Linked DNA regions of Caenorhabditis elegans. The protein of the gene in region 2 interacts with the protein of the main gene of each other region in a pairwise test. Each region holds a gene or a part of one and is shown on either strand. Other genes may lie near its edges. The genes, in order: M01E5.2, R06F6.8, rps-27A and zyg-8.

What was found.
Region 1: the proteins of R06F6.8 (region 2) and M01E5.2 interact in a two-hybrid assay, tested with the Caenorhabditis elegans proteins (one large-scale study listed by BioGRID).
Region 3: the proteins of R06F6.8 (region 2) and rps-27A interact in a two-hybrid assay, tested with the Caenorhabditis elegans proteins (one large-scale study listed by BioGRID).
Region 4: the proteins of R06F6.8 (region 2) and zyg-8 interact in a two-hybrid assay, tested with the Caenorhabditis elegans proteins (one large-scale study listed by BioGRID).

The regions. Positions count from the first base shown.
Region 1 is NC_003279.8:13,276,436-13,282,148, reverse strand, and holds M01E5.2 (Mitochondrial ribosome-associated GTPase 2), read left to right. Parts: upstream 1-1,973; 5' UTR 1,974-1,992; coding exon 1,993-2,236; intron 2,237-2,988; coding exon 2,989-3,058; intron 3,059-3,111; coding exon 3,112-3,223; intron 3,224-3,273; coding exon 3,274-3,381; intron 3,382-3,647; coding exon 3,648-3,718; intron 3,719-3,781; coding exon 3,782-3,979; intron 3,980-4,229; coding exon 4,230-4,503; 3' UTR 4,504-5,181; downstream 5,182-5,713. Other genes in the region: M01E5.3 (RNase NYN domain-containing protein), read left to right, coding at 410-480.
Region 2 is NC_003280.10:10,813,977-10,821,684, reverse strand, and holds the start of R06F6.8 (Guanine nucleotide exchange factor subunit R06F6.8), read left to right. Parts: upstream 1-1,706; 5' UTR 1,707-1,735; coding exon 1,736-1,747; intron 1,748-1,799; coding exon 1,800-1,940; intron 1,941-1,989; coding exon 1,990-2,100; intron 2,101-2,150; coding exon 2,151-2,612; intron 2,613-2,666; coding exon 2,667-2,758; intron 2,759-2,838; coding exon 2,839-3,376; intron 3,377-3,503; coding exon 3,504-3,796; intron 3,797-3,892; coding exon 3,893-4,184; intron 4,185-4,782; coding exon 4,783-5,765; intron 5,766-6,159; coding exon 6,160-6,385; intron 6,386-6,434; coding exon 6,435-6,552; intron 6,553-6,600; coding exon 6,601-6,733; intron 6,734-7,368; coding exon 7,369-7,708. Other genes in the region: ech-4 (Delta(3),Delta(2)-enoyl-CoA isomerase), read right to left, coding at 1-552, 601-653. UniProt on the Caenorhabditis elegans protein: Probable component of a guanine nucleotide exchange factor (GEF) that may be required for efficient fusion of endosome-derived vesicles with the Golgi.
Region 3 is NC_003281.10:3,066,558-3,069,721, forward strand, and holds rps-27A (Ubiquitin-like protein 1), read left to right. Parts: upstream 1-1,759; 5' UTR 1,760-1,777; coding exon 1,778-1,910; intron 1,911-1,928; exon of another isoform or gene 1,929-2,005; intron 2,006-2,016; coding exon 2,017-2,186; intron 2,187-2,248; exon of another isoform or gene 2,249-2,326; intron 2,327-2,415; coding exon 2,416-2,604; 3' UTR 2,605-2,653; downstream 2,654-3,164.
Region 4 is NC_003281.10:12,060,173-12,064,748, forward strand, and holds the start of zyg-8 (Serine/threonine-protein kinase zyg-8), read left to right. Parts: upstream 1-1,540; 5' UTR 1,541-1,566; coding exon 1,567-1,753; intron 1,754-2,752; coding exon 2,753-3,659; intron 3,660-4,576. UniProt on the Caenorhabditis elegans protein: Probable kinase. Kinase activity may be involved in positioning of spindle poles in meiosis and mitosis. Plays a role in spindle positioning during asymmetric division of one-cell stage embryos.

The DNA.
Region 1 (5,713 bases), on a different chromosome or scaffold from region 2:
GAAACAAAAAATCAATTTTTTTACAAAAACCGAAAAATTGTAATTTTAGACAAATAAAAACCAAAAAAGAAACAATTTTCTACCAGAAACTTTTAGAAAACCAATTTTCGACATAAACTCCGAGAAAAACCAATTTTTGATTTACAAAAAAAAAAACCCGAAAATGCCAATTTCTTACTAAAACTAAAAATAAATAAATAAAAATCCCATTAAAAACTTTTTAAAAACAAATAATCAAAAAAAAAACCAATTTTCGAGAAAACAAACCCGAAAATATCAATTTCTTACAAAAAACCCATAAAAAAATTTTTAAAACAAAATTTAAAAAAATTTCGGTTAAAAAATGTATGCCAAAATTTTAAAAAAATCTAAATTGATTAAAAAAAATAATATCTCTCCAATTTTGCAGACGATGAAGTGATGGAAGTAGGAGGAGTCGACGGACAATTCATGATGGATGGCCGAGCAGTTATGGAATAGTTTTCCCTCGTCCACGGCCACAATCACCTCTTCATTCAACAACTAATCTTTCTCACTAATATATTCTTGATTTTCCCCAAATAATCCCATTTTCTTCTTCATCTCCATTGAATTTTCACGTATCCGGGTAGTATTTAGGATATCATTTCGTTTCAAACCAGTCCCCCCACCACTTTTTTTTTTTTGAAATCTGAAATATTCAGATTTCCCCTGTTATTATTTAATACTGTCACAGTCATTTCTGTACCTTTTTTGAAGTTTTCGCACTGAAAATTTTCCAATTTTTCATTAAAAATAGCCCAATGTGTCGTCGTTTGTGCCTTTTCGGTCCTCCTGTTTTTCTCGAAAAAAAACCCGCTTTTTAAAAACTTTTCTTCATATACTAAAACTTTCAGTAATCCCAGTGTGTGTTCTCTCTTATTCATTTTTTCCCACCAATTTTCATACAAATTTGAAATTGTACAGAATTTTCCCTTTTTTCCTTTTAATTCTTAATGCTAAAATCACTTAATTTTACCCAAAAATAATTTACCATGTCTTCTCTAATTCCCTGTCTCTCTCTCTCTCTCGCTTGATTCACAGTTTGACGTACTCCGCCGAACAATTTCGCTTCTTTTTTTGTTGAAATGTTTTTTTTTCACACCTACATAGCCTATAAGCTCCAATTATTGTGTCTCTCAGCGGCTTATTTGATATATTGTCCACAATATTTCTCGTGTTCCTTCTCCTTCTCGCTGACTTGGAGATTTTGTTTTTCCAATGAAAATGTATTTTAAATTACTTTCAAACGAATTTTTTCAAAACAGTAAAATTTTCGATGGTTTTCCATATTTTTCCCAGAAAAATCGCTAATTTTGATGAGCATTTGAATTGCCGCGCGCTCATTCTTAAGCTCCGCCCATTTTTCCGTGCCGCATTTTCCAGGTTCGGCGCTAATTTTTCGATTAATTTCTTTATTTTCTAGTGAAAAAAAAGGATTTTTGTGGAAAAATTTCAGCCAAAATCCGAAATTTTCTATTTTTTCGGTTTTTTTCGGAGAAAATCAAAAAAAAAAATTATTTAAAAAAATAGTCGAAAAATGTCTTCAAAAGTTGAAAAAACATTAAAAATTAAAATTTTTCCAATTAAAAAAAAACCAAAAAAGTTTCGTTTCTCGCCATTCCGAAAATTTCGAAAAGTGCGGCACGGAAAAGTGGGCGGAGCTTAGAGACAATAAAATTTTATTGATTTGTTCATTTTTTTCATGGATTTTACATTAAAATTCAGTTATAAAATAAAAATAAAAATAAACAAAAAAAATGTCTTCAAACGCTGCAAAAATTTTTTTTCGCCTTTCTGAAAATTTCAACAAAATTCAAAGTGCTGCACGGAAAAATAGGCGGGGCTTAGAGACAACTTTTTGAAAAAATTATTGATTTTTTCATTTTTATATAGATTTTACATCAAAATTCATTTATAAAATTGAAAAAAAATTCTGCAAAATTAAATTTTAGAAAAAATTACTGGAAAAAAATGCGAATTTCCCTGCAAAAATGCTCCAAAACCGCGTGCTCCGTCCTATCAAAACGTCCAATTTTATCGCCGAAAAAGCCGAAATCCGAAGGAGAAGCCACTTCATTTATTGATTATCGACGTGTTAGATGTCAGGCTGGAAATGGTGGAAATGGAATGGTTTCATTTTTTCGTGGATATCGGAAACCATTTGGTGGTCCAGATGGTGGTGATGGTGGACATGGGGGACATGTCGTTTTTCGAGGTACTTATTGCATGCTGAATTATTGGAAAAGCACGAAAAAATCAATTTTTTCAACGAAAAACTCAACCAACTTGGGTCTCGCCACGAAAAAAACTTTTCAGCTACAGTAACCGCAATTTTTGGGATTTCCTTGATTTTTTACATAGTCCAAACTTGTTAAAATTTGAAATAAAAATCAAAAGTGAGTTAGAAAAAAAATAAGCGGGTACGGTAGCTGATTTTCGTGGTGGGACCCGAGACTGTGAAAAATTGATTTTTCAGCAAAAATTTAATAGAACACCGGTGAGCATTCAAGAAAATTGTGAAATTTGGTTTTTTTTCATACGAAAAAAAAAAAATTCAAAAATGGAAATACGTTTTAGTCGTAAATTTTTCATTTTTGAGTGAAATTTTACAATTTTTTAACTCTAAAATTCTGCGGAAACCGATATTTTAACACATTTTCACCTAAAATTTCAAGATTTTCCACTAAAAAGTAGTCTTTTTAACAGTTGAAGTGAATTTTCACAGTTTTTTGATTAATCTTCCGTAAATTACGTTCCATGGTAAAATTTTATAAAATAATAATGAAAAATTGAAAAATGTATAGAAAATTCAATTTTCAGTCAAGCTTTCTGATTTTTAATATAAATTTATTTCAAATTTAGCGCGAAAACTTTGCGATTTATTGAGAAAAATTTAAACTTAGAAAAAAAAAGTTTTTAAAAATTAATTTTAAAGCTACAAATTCTAAAAAAAAATCAAATTTTCAGCCAGTCGCAGTAGTAAAGATCTCTCGACAGTTCACTCAATCGTACGGGCTCAAAATGGAGAATTCGGCAGGTATCCGGCTACCACAAAAAAATCGTAAAAAATCTAATTTCTACATTTTCCAGATCAAAATCATGTCACGGAAAATCAGCAGACCATAAAGAAGTTGAAGTACCTCTTGGTACCGTATTCAAAGCTGATGGGAACACAATTTTTGAGTTAAACAACGAAAATGATGTGAGATTCTCTCGATGGAGCGTACTTACAACATTCAACACTTTTTTTAGATGTTCATTGCGGCACGTGGCGGAGTTGGAGGACGTGGAAATCAGTTTTATGTGTCGAATGAGGTCCGAAAACCATTTAAAGCAGAGTATGGAGGAGAAGGAGAAGAGGTTTTGTTCATATCTCTTTTAATTTCAGTTTGTAGTCGATTTGGAGTTAAAATTCGGAATGAGCGTAAAATTTTGGATCGTAATGATGTGCGACATGACCAGAATAGGCCGGGCCTGCTTTGTGCCTACTTCATGCCTACAGCCTGCCTACCCGTAGGCACAAAGTAGGCATCGGGCATGTCGCACATCGATCCGGGCCTAAATTTTGCGCTGATCCCGAACATGCACTCCGAATTGGGCGAAAAATTCAAATAAAATTTTTTCAGCTAATTTACGACGTGGAAATGCGAGTTATGGCGACAGCAGGCCTGGTTGGATTCCCGAATGCTGGAAAATCGTGAGTTTTTCTGGAAATTTCATATAATTTTCGCGACGAGACCAAAATGTGCTCAATTTTCAGTTCGCTGCTCCGTGCAATTTCCCGAGCCAAACCGAAAGTCGCCTCGTACCCATTTACAACGCTCCACCCGCATATTGGTGTTGTATTCTATGAGGATTTCGAGCAAATCGCGGTTGCCGATATTCCAGGGCTCATTGAGGATTCTCATTTGAACAAAGGGCTCGGAATCTCTTTTTTGAAGCATATCGAACGATGCGAGTAAGGGAACATTCACTGTGTCGATTTACGCAGATCGTGTAGTCCTCGAGGATAAGATTTAGGCTGAAAAACTAGATTTTAGCCTATTTTGGCTCAAGTTCAAGTTCAACAGTAAATTAAACATGTACCAATTCTAATAGTTAAAAAAAAACTGTGAAATCTTTTCCTCGTGGAGTACACGAGCTGAGTAAATCTACAAATGGTCGTGTTCTTCTTCCATGCTAAAAGGTTAAACATATCGTGTTTTCAGATCCCTGTGGTACGTATTGGACTATTCCACTGGATCACTGACAGATCAATACAAAATGCTCCGCGTTGAACTGGAAGGATATCAAAAAGGGCTTGGAGATCGAGCATCAACAATTGTAATCAATAAGATTGATTTATCAGGGAAGAGCCCGGAGGAAGAAGCTCACCACCTCTCTTCACTCTTCCCGAATCTCCCTGTATTTCCTGTTTCTGCACAACAACGGATAGGATTGGAGCCTCTATTAGAGCATCTTAGAGAACAATATGATAAATGATTTAGTTAGATTTTTAATAAATAATTTTATTTTCCGTTGACCTTGAATCCAATTAAACTCAAGTCGCCGTCTCGCAAGAGCCCGATGCGTAGACTTCTTTTTAGTGAACTGCCAGAGTCACTATTTTTAGTGAACTGCCAGAGTCACTTATTTTAGTGAACTGCCAGAGCCACTTATTTTAGTGAACTGCCAGAGCCACTTATTTTAGTGAACTGCCAGAGCCACTTATTTTAGTGAACTGCCAGAGTCACTTATTTTAGTGAACTGCCAGAGCCACTTATTTTAGTGAACTGCCAGAGCCACTTATTTTAGAACAATCTATTTTTCGTGAAACAATCTATTTTTTCGTGTAACAATCTATTTTTTCGTGTAACAATCTATTTTTTCGTGTAACAATCTATTTTTTCGTGTAACAATCTATTTTTTCGTGTAACAATCTATTTTTTCGTGTAACAATCTATTTTTTCGTGTAACAATCTATTTTATCGTGTAACAATCTATTTTTTCGTGTAACAATCTATTTTTTCGTGTAACAATCTATTTTTTCGTGTAACAATCTATTTTTTCGTGTAACAATCTATTTTTTCGTGTAACAATCTATTTTTTCGTGTAACAATCTATTTTTTCGTGTAACAATCTATTTTTTCGTGTAACAATCTATTTTTTCGTGTAACAATCTATTTTTTCGTGTAACAATCTAAATTAGAAAATTCATCTACCGTTCTAAATTGGAAACTTCATCTACCGTTCTAAATTGGAATATATTTTGGAATATATTCTGGAATATATTCTGGAATATACAAGGAAAACCTGGAATCTTCTAGAAAAGTCTGGGAACTTCTAGAAACTTCTGGAAAATTCTGGAAAAAAAATTAAAAAGTTTTAGAGAAACTCAGAATCTTCTGGAAAAATTTAGAAGCTTCTAGACTTTTCTAGGAAAACCGGGAAAATTTTATAAAACTCTAGAATCTGCTAGAACTTTCTAGAAAAATCTGAAGACATCTAGAAACTTCTGAAAACTTCTGGAAAAATCCTAAAATTGCTAGAACGTTTTAGAAAATTCTGGAGACATTAAAAAAAAATTGGAAACTTCATGATTTTCTTAACAGGAAGAATTTCGCCAGGAAAAGGTGTAACTGCGCAAAAGGCACAAAAAGCAATTAGAGAGTTATTGAAACAATTTGTGTAAGCCATTATTTATTTTCTTTTC
Region 2 (7,708 bases):
TCTTTAGTACCTCCAGCAGCAGCTTTAAAATTAGTCAAATCGTTTCCAGCGCAGTAATATGATCCATTGGCAGTAATCACAGTGATTGAGGTGCTCTTGTCATTGTTGGAGACCTCCAGTGCCTTTTGAATTCCTTGATACATTTCCAATGTCAATGCGTTGAACTTCTTTGGTCTATTCAATGCGATTTTGAACACTTTTCCCTCGCGAGTCACACTTAAACCGTCAACGTTCTCAAGTCCTTCGATTGATGGCCCAGTTGGTTCTGGAGCAGCAGAAGCTTCTTCGGAAATGAGTCCACCGACCAGTTTAGCATAGTTGGCGCGAGCTTCATCCTGAGTTTGTCCCTTCAAAGTATTCCAGGCATCATACTTGGCTCTTCCAACGAAATCCATCATTCCCGGGCGTTTTCCTTGCACATCCCCAGCGGTGGCTTGTTTGAAAAGCCCGTAGAGCTGCAGTTTCACGTCATTGTCCGGCTCTTCCTTCAGAGTTTTCAGATTTTTCTGCGCCTTCTCGAAGTCAGCCTGGGCAGAGAACGAGCGAACGGAACTGAAATTGAAGATTTATTCACAAATTAGATGATTTTTGCAGACTTACACTTGCGGATTGTAGAGAACACTTCTAGCGGCGAGGGTGAGATTTCGAAGCATTCTGAAATGAATTAAAATTGATTTTTTAAACGTTATAATTAATTTTTTCGGGGAAAAGAGAAAAAAAGAAAGAAAATGGACAACGTGAAGAAAAGAACAAGGTACACGGAGGGGCCGGGTAAATGATAAGAACGGCCGCCGTCTTTTTGTTGTTTTGAATGAACTGGCTACACACAAGAATACACATTGTAATGTGTAGCTGGACAATCGCTACTATACGCAAGACAATAGTGGAGCAATTATAAATGGGATAAATAATAGATTCAGGAAAATTTGGAGTTTCAATTTTTTTAAAAGAGAGCTCAAATTGTATAGATAACCTGGAAATTAAGATTTTAATATTAGAAAAAACAGTGAAAATCAAATTATAATCCCTAGGAGTCCTAGGAGAAATCCCCTCCTAGGAGAAATCAGAAAACTGATAAATAAAATCAATAAAATTTGCAGACAAAGGACGTTCACGGCCAAGGGTGTCAGTGTCCTGTAAAAATTACAAAAACGGGACAACGGGAATTCTCGTTCCCGTGAAAATTTTAAAAACGGGACAACAGAATTCCCGTTCCCGTGAAAACACCCCAAAAACGGGACAACGGGACAAACGGGACACGGGAATTGACACCCTTGTTCACGGCAACTACAAAATGCACAATACTTTGTCTACAGTACTCTGATTCAATTGTTTTGTTGTTTTTTTTTGTTAATTCTTTTTTTTTTGGTGTTAATTTTATTATTTAAATATGAATTTGTTATTTTTCGAGTGAAATCATTTTCATCCACGCAATCCTGAACGCCTGAAATTTTTGAAAAGTCTGCGTCTCTGCCCTCTAACGCGTGGCAACCGAGCGCGATTGCTCTTGAAAAATATTCACAGCTGGAGGCCTTTTTATTCTGTTTGAAACGTTTTTGCGTTCCAAATACAAAATAAAATCAATCTCCTAATTTTTAAATCAAGATGTCGAATTGAATCTGCTAAAAATTGAACGCGCTTCTTTATTACTGAGCTTTTAATCGCAAAAAACCGTTTTCCCCCGAATAATTAATATTTTTCAACAGAATACAACATTTGATGGATCTGGCATAGAATGTTCATACCTGTAAGTTTCCTTTAGAATTTTTTTAATAAAAAATAATTTTTGAAAATTCCAGAATGACAGGCCATCGGTTCTCCAGCTTCCGAAGCATGAAAAGGATTCGACTGCCGCCGATATCAAGTCAATTGTGGCAAATCGAGATCGAAGATTGATAGCAGTCGCAACAAATGATGCGATTTACATTTGGCTGGCAAATGTTAGTGCTGAAAACTAATAAAAATCTGATTAAAAAAACATAAATTCAGCCCCAACTGCTCCTGTGCTCCGTCGGGGTTATCGATGCCAATTTCAAAGAAACACGTGGAGAATTAAAAGAAATTTACTGGAAACCTGACTCAACAAGTATAGCTGTAACGGTAATATTTAAATTTTACAGTTCTTTCTTTGAAAATATTATATTTTTCAGACAAATCAATGCAAAATTTTAATCTATAATCTAGATTTGCGAGACGATGAACAATGCTACAATTTCACAGACTCTGCGGATCCATATTTCCAACGAAACTCACCGGAACTTTTTATAAAAGGATCTCGACCGACAGCTCATCTTCATCCAACAATAATCATAAATCTGGCTGATATACCAACATGTTGTGTTCCTTCTCGTGATGAATTTCTTGTTTGCCTTCAAAATGGATTCACTCATCATGTCACTTGGACTGGAGAGATTATTGCAAGCCTCTCATTCCGTGCCAGTTCAATTCCGTTCTCCGTGGATCAACTTCAGTCGAAATCTGAAAATATTACTTCAAAATCCACGTATATCTTTGACGCCGTGTATGCTCCACTTCTCGGAGGATTTGCGATTGTACTTTCCGATGGTCAAGGTGCTCTATTGACGTCGAATGATCCGAATTTTGCACCTAATGTGAGATTTTTATCATGAAAAATTAAAAAAAAAACCCATTTTTTATTATTCCAGGCAATTCTGGGAGTGTGGGCTCCGAATATGAAAGATGCCACGTGTTGCGATGTGAATCACAAGTTCCTTCTGATTCTTTTTGGATGTAAAAAGTGAGTTTTTTCAGATTTTTCAGATTTTAATTTTCAAAAATCAAACGCACAGTTTTCTTTTTAATCTAAACTATTTCCAGCGGCGACGTTTGTGCCTATAACATCGATGAACTAAATGGCTCACTCGTTCAATCGTTCCGAGTTGCTCCAAAAGTAACAAATGGTCCTGACTTGACGAATCGACTGGGTCCGGTTCACCGAATAACAGCCCTCGCGAATGGATACGGATTCGGTGCAATTTGGTCTCCACTATCCGGAGCTCATGCTCTTCCTCGGCTCGTCGCAGTTTTCACTTCATTCGGAGCTCAATCATTTTGCAATCTGGAAGGTGTCGTCGAAGAAGATCAAAATGATAGATACACGGCTATTGAATGGGGTCCAGAAGGTTTCCAACTGTGGCTTGGAACTGAAAATGAGCTTATGATGCAACCATTCGTGAGGAGTGCTTCATGTTCAAGCCCGGCAATGGAACATTGTGATAGAGCTGTATTGATGAGTGACTCGCAGGTTTTGATCAGTGCTGCAAGGGATCGAGAAGCAGAAGCTTGTGCACCGCATTCTGTATGGGATCATATTACAGTTACACATGAATATCTATCATCTAATTGGCCACTGAGAGTGAGTTTTTTAAAAGTAAAAACTAAAAGCATAAATTTGGTAAAACCATGAGGTAGGCATGTAGGCACGTAGGTATTTTCCGATAGAGTTTATTAAAATAAAATGTTAAAATTTAATATGTTTTCAGTATGCATCAACTGATCGAAACTATAAACATCTCGTCGTGGCCGGTGATCAAGGAATGGCATATTGTTCATTATCCAATCGACGTTGGAAGATTTTTGGAAATGAGACTCAAGAGAAGAATCTCTTGGTCACTGGAGGTGTCTTTATTTGGAATGATGACGTCATTGGAGTTGTTGGAGTTGCTGCGGATACTGACAAGTCCCATCTCTCATTTTATCCAATTTCTCAGAGACTTGACAGTCGATATGCGTCGGTTGTGGATTTGGAGCATAAATCGGTCATGTCCGTGTTACGGTAAGAAATATTCAATCTTGGAAATGAACTCTCATTATCAGTTTTTTTGGAATTATTCTAGATTCAGTGACATTAATATTTTCCCAATTTTTCCAGCGACGACGTTTGTGCAGTATTCGATATATCGGCTCAAATTACGCTTTATAAGCTCACGGCTCACTTGGAAACTGGACGAGATGCTTTTACAAAAGTCTCCACTGAAATTGTGACTGTTATTCGAATCAACGAAATTGTTCCACATCCAACATGTATTGTATCTCTTCAAATGACACAGCTGAATCTGGATGTACGGGGGAAGTTGTCACCTGCATTTTATTCAAGTATCGATACTGTGCTGGTTAATATTTCGGGAAGATTGATCACTTTGAGTGTTAATGAGGATGGAAAGGTTTGTACGGAAAATTAAAATTGCATGGTTTCTGAGTTTCCAGAATTTTGCAAAATTTGATGAATATTTAGAATTTTTGGAATTTTTAAATTTTATATTCTTGTCCAATTTTTGGTATTTCAGAAATTTTTAAAACATTCTGAATTTTTTGAATTTTCAGAACTTCTAGAGTTTTCGAATTTTTGGGTTTTCTGGAATTTAAAAAAAATTAAAATATTTTGGAATTGAATTTTTTGTTTCGAAATTTAATAATTTTCAATTTTTAGAAATTTCAAAATTTTTCCGTTCCTAGATTTTTCAACATTTTGAATTTCAGTATTTTTAAAACATGAAAAATTTTTCCTTTTTCCTAAATACTCGGTTAACTCGGTTAAACTAATTTTTTTCAATTTTCAGAATTTTTCAATTTTGGAATTTTGCAAAATTCAGTTTCTTTTTAATTTTCGGATTTTTTAAAGTTTTGAATTTGTGAAATGATTCAAATTTAGACTATTTGAATTTTCTGGAATTTTGGAAGTTTTGGGATTTCTGAAATGTTTGGTTTTTAAATTAGAAATTTTTGGAATTCGGAAATACAATATTAAAATAAAATTTACAGCTCCATCAACCCATGGTAATCGCGTCATACGTGGAAAAAATGTGGCATGACCGTTGTCAAGTCTCCCAATCAACCCAGTCTCAAAATCAAGATCTTCCATGGAAGAACCATCGGCGAAATGGATCAAATGTTTCAATCCAAAGTGTTTCCACATCAACAACTTCAGAACCATCATCTCCAATGAATCAATCATGTTCTTCACATTTGAGTAATGCTTTATGGATTGCTTGTGGTGCAAAAGGAATCAAAGTTTGGATGCCGTTGGTGCCAGGAAAACGAAATTTAGCCACACAGGAAATGACGTTTATCGCGAAACGAATAATGCTTCCATTTGAACTTGATATCTATCCAATTGTGATTAGTGCCAAAGATTGTCTTGCAATGGGTGTCGAGAGTCAACTACAACATGTTGCAAGAGCTTCAAGAAATCAAGGACAAATGGAAAGTATCACTATGTATGGACTTCATCGCAATAGTGAAGTATTTGTGCATCACCTGCTCCGACAACTTTTGAAGCGAAATCTTGGAGTTTTTGCTTTGGAGCTCGCCGGAGCCTGTCGTTCTCTTCCACATTTCACGCATGCTCTTGAGCTTTTGCTCCATGGAGTCCTTGAAGAAGAAGCTACAAGTAGTGAACCAATTCCAGATCCTCTTCTCCCAAGATGTGTAGCTTTTATTCACGAATTTCCAGAATTTCTGAAAACCGTAGCACATTGTGCACGAAAAACTGAATTGGCACTTTGGAGAACGTTATTTGATGTCACAGGATCTCCAAATGCACTATTCGAAGAATGTCTACAACTGAAACAACTCGAAAATGCTGCAAGTTTCGTGATTGTCCTGCAAAATCTTGAAACCACCGAAGTGAGTATGGATCAAGCAGCGAGACTTGTGAAGGAAGCATTAGAAGAGAAAAAATGGACGATTGCGAAGGAAATGGTCAGATTTGCAAGATCTATTGGTTCGGAGGATATTGATGCATTGTAAGAATTAATGAATTCATTAATAGAGAAATTAAAAAAGAATGCCTCCAAAAAGAGAACGCACGGAAAAAAGATTCCCAGAATACATGTGCCCTACATCCGTAACTCTCCTTTTATCAAGCGAGGTATTCAGAATCAAGGTCACCGTTGTTATCGTATCCGTTTCACGCTACGATCCACAGAATCGGCACCCACTTTGAAAAATAATTAAATGTGTTCAGAAATAGAATAATGACCGAAACTAAGTTGAATTCGCAACAACGAATTATTAGATACCGTAATCCACACATTTGCATTTGAAAAATTGGCCGTGTCGAGACCGGCTACCGTAGTTTTTAAGCAAACAAAAATAAAATTTGATAATAACTTTGCAATTGTTTTAATTTTTAAAAAGTTTCAGAACACCTCCACCAAGTGCCAAGACTTCTCTATCCCGCCGACCTACAGTATCCTCACCGTCCGCTGATTCTTCCACTGAATTCGTGATTAATAGATTTCAAGCGGGAGCTGCTGGAGGAAGATTAAATAAAGTTCGACATTCACAGAGTACTGAGCAAAAAGATGCACCGAGAAAAGATTCGATTGGCGGAAGTTCAAAGGATAAAATGGCGTTGTCTTGGGTTTGTGTGTTTTACTGGAAATTTTTATTTTTATAAAATCTAATTTCAGGGCCTATCTGGTGAACTTTCTCCACAATTGGCTACGAATCGACTCGCCGCAAAAATGACATCAATTCTAGAAGATCACGCGTGGCATTTGCTGAATAATTATTGGCTTCTAGATCTTGGTAATTGGAAAAAAAAATTCAGGACAATTTGGATTCAATTTTTTTCAGGATTCTTCTGGTCCGAACTTCAATTCGATTTGCTCGGTCTTTTGGAGACGCGACGGAAACAAATTTCTCTTTCACCGAAAACTACAAACGAAAATTGCTTTTTGATTGAAGATTTTGCCTTGGCACTTACAAGGTAAATTGGGATTCTTCCACTGAAAATGTAATAATTCAGAAATTTAAAAATAAACTTAAATTTTCGAGTTTTCCAGTTTTTTCGAGAATCTGAAAATCGAAAAAAAAACTTGAAATTTAATACTAAAAAATTTAAATTTTTAATTATTCCGATTTTTCGTGTTTTTCAGAAAAATGATACATTATACGGAAAAAAAATTTTTGATTTTAAATTTCCCGTTTTTTTTTTAATTTTTAAATTCTCGGAAAAATTGGAAAACTCGAAAATTTAAGTTTATTTTTAAATTTCTGAATTGTTACATTTTCTGTAAAAAATAATAATTAAAGAAAAAACACGAAACATTTTTTGGGGGAATTTTTAAAATCTAAAATTATTGGAAAAAAATGCAAATTTTATCTTTCAAAAAAAAAAAACTGAAATTTTGAAAATCGAAAAATTAAAAAAAATTTTAAGCGTTGTAAAAATATATGAGAAAAACCCAGAAGCTAAATATTAACCAGAAAAATGTAAATTTTGATGAGAAAAAATTATTGAAAAACTATCGGAAATTTTGAATATTCCTTCGATTTTGTCGATTTTCAATAAAAATTGGGAATATTTTTAATATAAAAAACTCTAATTTCAAAAATTTTCAGACTCCATGCTCAATTCTCGTGGCCATATCCTCTCATCGGTTCTCAATTCGTGCATCAAATTGAGAAGAAGCTTGGAAATATTCGTGTCAGCCAGAGTACTGCAAGCTTGAATGGACTACTAAATGACTCATTGGATAATATAAAGAAGCCTAAAGCCAGAAAATTGGAAAGGACTGTAGTTGATTTAAATGGAGCTAGATCGAGAATTCGTGAAACGGATATTGAAGCTAGCGAAGAAGACGTTGAGATTCAAGAAGCCGTGCTGGAAAGAGTACGTGGAAGTGCTGTGGAACTGGCACCAGTAATCGATAGATCCCCATCGACATCTTCTTCAATGAAT
Region 3 (3,164 bases), on a different chromosome or scaffold from region 2:
TGGTCTTGACGCGCGTTTAGTCATCATTTTAAGCAGTTTCTGTGTGAAATTTGTGTAGATAACAGTATATGAATCACTTATTTCGTATTTCTGTAGCTTTTCCACAAGTTAATTGTGATCTACGCGATATTTTTACACAGAAACTACTTAATATGATGACTAAACGCGCGGCAAGACCATTCTGTATAAATGAGCCTCCCTTTAAAATGTTAAAAGTGGAAAAATAAATGTACTGTAACTCGGCGGAGAGCACCGATCAAAAAAATTTTCAATTAGCGAATTATAGCACTTAAAATTTCCTATATTTTGTTAGTTGGAAACTTTTTGATATCTCCTCTTCTCACTGAGATACAAGCGCTCAAAGTTAGAGGCGCTAGAGAGTGTGGGAGGGGGAGAGACGCAGACGGCACGCGCTGTCTGCGTCTCTCCTCCTTCCACACTATTTCTCTGCGAAAATCTTTAACCGTCAGTATCTCCAAATCGGTGAGAGCTATCAAAAAATTTTCAACTATCAATATACTTCATTTTTAATATTCTACAAAAATCGCCAGGCGGAATTTTCAAAAACTTTGAACAATTCCTGGAAAAAGGTAAATTATTGATTTTTTACGAATTTCTCAACTTTCCAGACCTTAAACTCAATGTTAAACTACTCTTCAAATATAAAATGCATGAAAATTCCATTGTTTTTTGCTCAGAAGCCACTTTGAAATAGTCCCAAGGGTGCCCAAGAAATGGGTGACATTCGTCCATTTGTCCATAACAATTGCACATATATATTTGGTGTTCAGTGGGGATTTTTTTGGAGAATTTCAGAAGGAAATTTGAAAAAAAAAGCATTCTTTTTCCTTTCCGAAACGGCCAAAAGTCGGGAAAAAAAGAGCAATTAGGCTCGAGAGCACCCATAAACAATTGCATGAGTTAATTGAGAATTCGGAGCACGGCGTCGAATCGATTCGAGCTCACTCACGCGAGCGACGGGGAGCACAGCACACCACTGAGAATATTACATTTCTCGTTGTCTGGGAGGGTGGCTCGGAGCAATTCAAGACGACTCGACGCGGGGAAAACCGAAAAACAAGGGACAACATTTTTTCTTCCAGATTTTTGAGATTATAACTGAAAAAACAAGGGTTTTCGGCACATTTTTTCTGAAAAATTCCCAAATTCTAGCTTGAATTTTGAATTTTTTAGTGAATTTTAAACATTTGCCGTGAAAAACCATTCGGAAATCTTTCCATTTTCAGGTTTTTCACCTTTTTAACCACTGTAAATCTCAATATCCAAGTGGCTTTTTGTGGAGAAATTGTAAAATTCAATGAAGTTTCATCTGGAATTTGAACGTTTTCACTCGATTTTTACCATTTTTTCACCAAAAACCACCTGAAACTGGAGCTTTTTCGTTCAATTTTCAAATTTTTAACATTTTGTCATCATTTTCCACTTCTGAAACCTGAAAATCTGAAAATTCACATCCGAAAACCTCGAAATTCGCTTGAAATTTTTTTTAAGCCGCGCAATTTTAATGCAAGCGCGCCCCACCGCACTACTTAGAAGTGCAGGTTATACGGTAGGCGGGGGATTTTAGGACGACTTTCTCTATTTTTCAACACTTTTTCGATTTTATTCTCGCGTTTTGGCCTAAATTTTCTGATTTTTTTTTGGTTTTTGCTGTTAAAATTGATCGATTTTCCTATCTTGTCCAATTTTTCTCTATTGAATCCCCTTTTTTCTCTCAATTTATTGTTGTTTTTTGCAGAACTAGGGTCAGTCAAGCATGGTCTTCGTTAAGACACTCCACAGAACCTTGTTCCTCGAGGTCGCCGCCAACGAGGATGTCTTGAGCATCAAGCAAAAAATCGAGGCCGCCGAGGGAATTCCAGCCGAAGAGCAGAGACTCTGCTACGCCGGTTCGTTTCGTTTCACGCAGAATCTCGAGAAGCGATTTCCTGACACTCGTCGGGTCGCTTTGAGGACAGACCCTGCCGTACACATTCTTGATTTTTACCTGTTAAGGACGTCAGCTCGAGGATAGCGATTGCGGAATCGACTCTGAGGCCACCATCTACGTCAACCTTGAGCTTCTCGGAGGAGCCAAGAAGAGAAAGAAGAAGGTCTACACCACCCCAAAGAAGAACAAGAGAAAGCCAAAGAAGGTCAAGCTCGCCGTCCTTAAGTACTACAAGGTAAGCAGAGTTTCGAATTCGTGAGAAATATCTTGCTCCAGCTCTGCCTAAAAAGTTTGAAACGATGATGATGAAGAATTTTTGATATGGTGTCAGGACCTCTGAGAGTTCCGTGATGATGTTTAGAGTTCCTGAATCTTTTCAAATCTTCTAGGCAGATTAGCAGAGTAGATATTTTCTGATAACCAATTTTCATATTTTACTGGCCATTATTATCATATATTTCCAGATCGACGAGAACGGCAAGATCACCCGTCTTCGCAAGGAGTGCCAACAACCATCATGCGGAGGAGGAGTCTTCATGGCTCAACACGCCAACAGACACTACTGCGGAAGATGCCACGACACCCTCGTCGTTGACACCGCCACTGCCGCTGCCACCTCTGGCGAGAAGGGAGGAAAGAAGGGAAAGAAGTAGACTGTTGTCCAATTTTTAACCTTCAATCAAAATAAATGTTGATTTTTGATATTCTTGCTATATGTTCTTCGGGAGAAAAGTTTATTCGTAACACATCGGAGGAATTATTTGTTTCAGAATTTGAATATTCTCCAGAAAATAATTAACCAATGACTTAATTATGATGTCATAACTTTGGAAAAAAACAAGATCTCACGTGTCCGCCTTCTCAAATAGCAAGAGATGCCCGGTCATGACCAGGATACCCTTGAATTGAGGATTGAATTCCCGCCAAATTCCTAGGATTTTTCGTTCAAAATGTCTTTTCTGAACGCTAAACCTCTCGTTGTTGCATTTTTCGCGTAAAAAGCTAGAAATCGGCCAAAAGCAGTGAAATTTTGCATAAAGCTGGATATTTGCTCAAAAAGCTAAAAAATCACCTCAAAAAGCTCAAAATTCCGTTTAAAAAGCTGGTATTTGGCTCAAAATATCCAACATTTCTCTGAAAAAAGCTGGGAATTAACTTAAAACGCTCAAAAATTCCGCTTTCAAAGCTGAAAATTCCGCTTAAATTGCTAAAA
Region 4 (4,576 bases), on a different chromosome or scaffold from region 2:
GTTTAATTGGCTCTGTGGTCCCTCCGGATACCCCCTAACTAATCCCTCGTCTATTCCGTCCCCCGGCTCTGCGTTGGCTCGCGCGCGCCCCTCCCGTCAGCCAAATCAACCCACAACAACACCCGTCTGCCCTTTAGCTCTTTCGAATGAGAGGAAAACGAGAAGCAGCTCACTGCTCACTGCTCTCTGTGTGCACGCCTAGTTAATTCCCACATTCGACATTCCATGCATTTTGGAGACCAATGCTCGCGGACAGCTCATTTTGGACAATGATTCGAATTGTCAGCTAGTCATAGCATAGTAAAATTATCTCCTTTTTTTTGGTGTCACGTGGCGTCTCATTTCGGTTTGATCTACCTAGATCTACAAAAAATGCGGCAGAGTTCTCAACTGATTTCGCATGGTTAAGAACGTGCTGACGTCACATTTCTTTGGGCGAAAAATTCCCGCATTTTTTGTAGATCAATCCGTTATGGGACAGCCTGATGGAAATTTTGCTTCAAAAATCTTTAAAAAATCGAAAAAAAAAATTTCTCAGAAAATTTGAATTTCCCGCCAAAATTATTTTAAGAGAAAATTTGAATCCTCGCCAAAACAAATTCGAAAAAATAAAAAAAAATTTCCCGCCAAATTTTTTTTTCGGAAAATTTGAATTTCCCGCCAAAATAGATATTTTCCGAAAATTTGAATTTCCCGCCAAAAAAAAATTAAAAAAATTTTGAATTTCCCGCCTAAATAGGTTTTTTTTCTCGAAAAAAAATTGAATTTTCCGACGAAATAGTTGTTTCACAGAAAATTTGAATCTCCCGCCAAAATAGATATTTTCTCCGAAAATTTGAATTCCCGCCAAAAAATTCTAAAATTTTTAAATTTCCCGCCAAATTTTTTTTCGGAAAATTTGAATCCCCGACAAAAATTTTTTTTCCCAGAAAACTTTAATTTTGCTCAGAAAATCTCAAAAAAATTTGAATTTTCCACTTTTTTTTCAGAAAAAAAAATTGTTTTTCTAAAATAACAAAAAAAAAGATTAATTCCCGTCTATAGCACTTGCACCATACCCGATTGGAATTGTCCTCCTCGATTTTTAGTTCATTTTCTGTCCAATCTTTTGATTTTGCATTCCTTTCTCTTTTTCATATCCAAGGCCCATTCCGGTTTGATCTACAAAAAATGCGGGAGAAAAGACACAAATTTCTCAATTGATTTCGCATGGTTAAGAACGTGCTGACGTCACATTTTTTGGGCCAAAAATTCCCGCATTTTTGGTAGATCAAACCGTAATGGGACGGCCTGTTGCCACGTGGTATATCCCCACGTGGTGTCAGGCAGTCTCATTGCGGTTTGATCTACAAAAAATGCGGGAACTTTCCCCCAGGAAAATGTGACGTCAGTACACTCTCATTCGATGCTAAATCAGCTGAGAAATCTGCGTCTCATCTCCCGCATTTTTGGTAGATCAAACCGTAATGGGACGGCCTGACACCGCTCCGTCCTCCTCTCGTGGTTGCGCCTAACTATCGCTAATTTGGTGTTTTTTTTCGGTGTTAGACTATCTCTACTCGAACGATGCCACAAACGTCGGCGTGGCAGCTCAACGACACAACTGCTAGACCACCACCACCACCACCACCACCTGGATCTGAAGCTGGAGGATCGGATGGAGCATCTATGAATGGAGCCAACACATTGCCACGTGTATCGAAGAGGGTTTCCGCTGCTGGAAAAACGTCGAATATTCCACGATTCAAACGACGTAAGAATTGAGTGTTTGGCTTGAATTTCCCCGTTGGTGGCTTGCTTGCTTCAGCTTACGGGATATGGTTTTTTTTAATGATGAATCCGTGAATTTTGCAACAAAAAAGCAGCGTCGCACAGAAAAAGAGGCGGAGCGTAATTTTGCAACCCTGCGGCACGGTTTTTTCTCCTTTTTTTCTGAATTTTTTTTTTCGATTAATTTCATTTTTTTTACAACCATGAAATATCCTCACAATCTAATAATAAGTAAATTGGGTAATACTTTCATTCGAAAAAAGACAAATAAAAAATAGAGAAAAAACCGTGCCGCAAGGTTGCGAAATTACGAAATTACACTCCGCCTCTTTTTCGGTGCGATGCTGCTTTTTTGCAAAATTCACGGATAGATTGTTTAATTTCAATAGTACTGAGTTGAAAACTTGAAAAAAGAGACATTTTTATTTGTAAAAAGCTATTAAAAAATGATTAATACCGTCAGACTGTTGAAAACGATTTTTCCGGCAAATCGACAAATTGCCGGATTTGCCGGAAAAAAATGGCCCCTAAATTTTCCGGCAAATCGGAAAGTTGCCGGATTTTAAATTTTCCGCAAATTGGCCGATTTGCCGGAAAAAGCGGCCCCTAAAATTTTCGATTTTTCTATTTTCCGAAATTCAGAAAATTACCCATAAGATATGATTTTTTAAAAATCTAATTTTGTTTATATATTCATGATAAAGAACATCTAAAAATAAGAACAATGATCAAAGTTTAAGCGAATTTTTAAAAAATCGAAAAAATTTCGAAATATCGATTTTTCGATTTTCAAAAATCGAAAAAACCGACACCCTTGATCGTTATCACTATTCGAAAATAATTGAATCTAAAGAATCGAGATCCTGTAAATCTACACTACAGTAGTCATATAAAGAATTACTGTAGTTTTCTTTTCGCTACGAGATATTTTGCGCGTTAAATATTTTTTTGTGTTCCCGTGTAATATAATCCTAATTTCCAGCCCATCTCCCTCATTCGACACGTCCTCTCTCCGCAGTCTTGACATCATCATCATCTCCAGTTGTTCATAGAAAGATCAGTCCATCATCATCTGCTCCATCAACATCCTCCGCACATCGTCGATTCTCGCATCTTCCTCAACAACACTTCCACCATCATATTCATCACAATCAGACCGCAGTGATCAGTGAAGAAACACTGACAACTCCACGAGCATCGACTCTTAATCTCAATCAGACAAGCGTCTTCCCAACGGCAATTTCCCAGGGAAGCATGCCGAATAGTGGCACGAACACTGCGGAAGCGTCAATGACGTCATCCGTATGTGCCATGGAAACCGAGGGAACGAATGGAGATGAGCTCGCAGAGTCCAGGGATATGGTCTCAGAAATGCAGCGGAGGTGTCGAATCGGGCCATCCGGGTATCCGCATTTACTGAAAGCCAAGCGACTCCGGTTCTATAGAAATGGGGATCAATATTTCAAAGGGATTCAGTATGCTTTACAAAGTGACCGGGTGAAGAGTATGCAACCACTTATGGAAGATTTGATGAAAACTGTAATCTGTGACTCGACGGCTCTTCCACACGGAATCCGTCACATTTTCACGATCGACGGCGCTCAACGCATCACTTCCGTAGATCAATTCGAAGACGGCGGTGGTTATGTGTGTTCGAGTACCGACGCTTTCAAACCGGTCGATTATTCGAGAGCCGCCGAGCCAAGTTGGCGTCTGACACTTGCCAATCGATACAATCGACACTTGGAGACGAAGAAGCTGGCGTTGAGTGTCGTAGAGCCGTGTCATGAGAATACGGATTTCGTGTTTCCACGAATTATCAAGGTTATTCGGAATGGGGTGAAGCCAAGGCGGATTAGTAGGCATTTGTTGAACAAGAAGACGGCGAGGTGAGAGCAAAAAATCGCCCCGACCAATCAGCGATTCGCTCCGCCGCCCACTTTCCAACCAATCAGGCGACGTGGGTGGAGTTCGAAGGTGTTGATTGGTCGGGTGAAGTCTCATTTTGAAGGGAATTCAAAAATGATTGTTTTTTTCGCGTTTTTCCTATTTTCCTAAGGAAAAAAAAATTATTTTTCAACCAAAAAAAGTGGCGGCGATTCAAAATTTTGAATGAAAAAGACAAAAAATTCAAAAAAAAAATATGCGAAAGAACGAAAAATTCGAATTTTTCTGCGACCAATCAGCAATTCGCTCCGCCCATTTTTCGCCCAATCAGGTGAGGTGGGCGGAGTTTGAAGATGCCTAAACGAGAACTCCCGCCCACTTCTTCAGATTGGTTCAAAAGTGGGCGGAGCTAATCGCTGATTGGTCGCAGATTTTTTTTGAATTTTTTGTCTTTTTTCTTAAAAATGTTGAACCGTCGCAACTTACAAAAAAAAAATTTTTTTTCATTACGAAAATAGGAAAAAAGCGAAAAAAACAATCAATTTTGAATTCCCTCCAAAATGAAACTTTACCCGACCAATCAGCGCCTTCGAAACCCCCCCCCCCCCCCCCCCCCCACTTCATCTGATTGGTTGAAAAATGGGCGGAGCAAATCGCTGATTGGTCGCAGTGGGAATTTGTCTAAAATTGGAAAAAATCGGTGTTTTTTGTTTTTTTTTCGAATTTTTTCCCAAAAAAAACACAAAAACCCAATTTACACTGCGACCAATCAGCGATTAGCTCCGCCCACTTTCCAACCAATCAGATGGAGTGGGCGGAGTTCGAAGGCGCTGATTGGTTGGTGAAAATTCGGTTATATTCCCTCCAAAAAGAGAACTCCCCGCCCACTTCATCTGATTGGTTGAAAAATGGGCGCGGA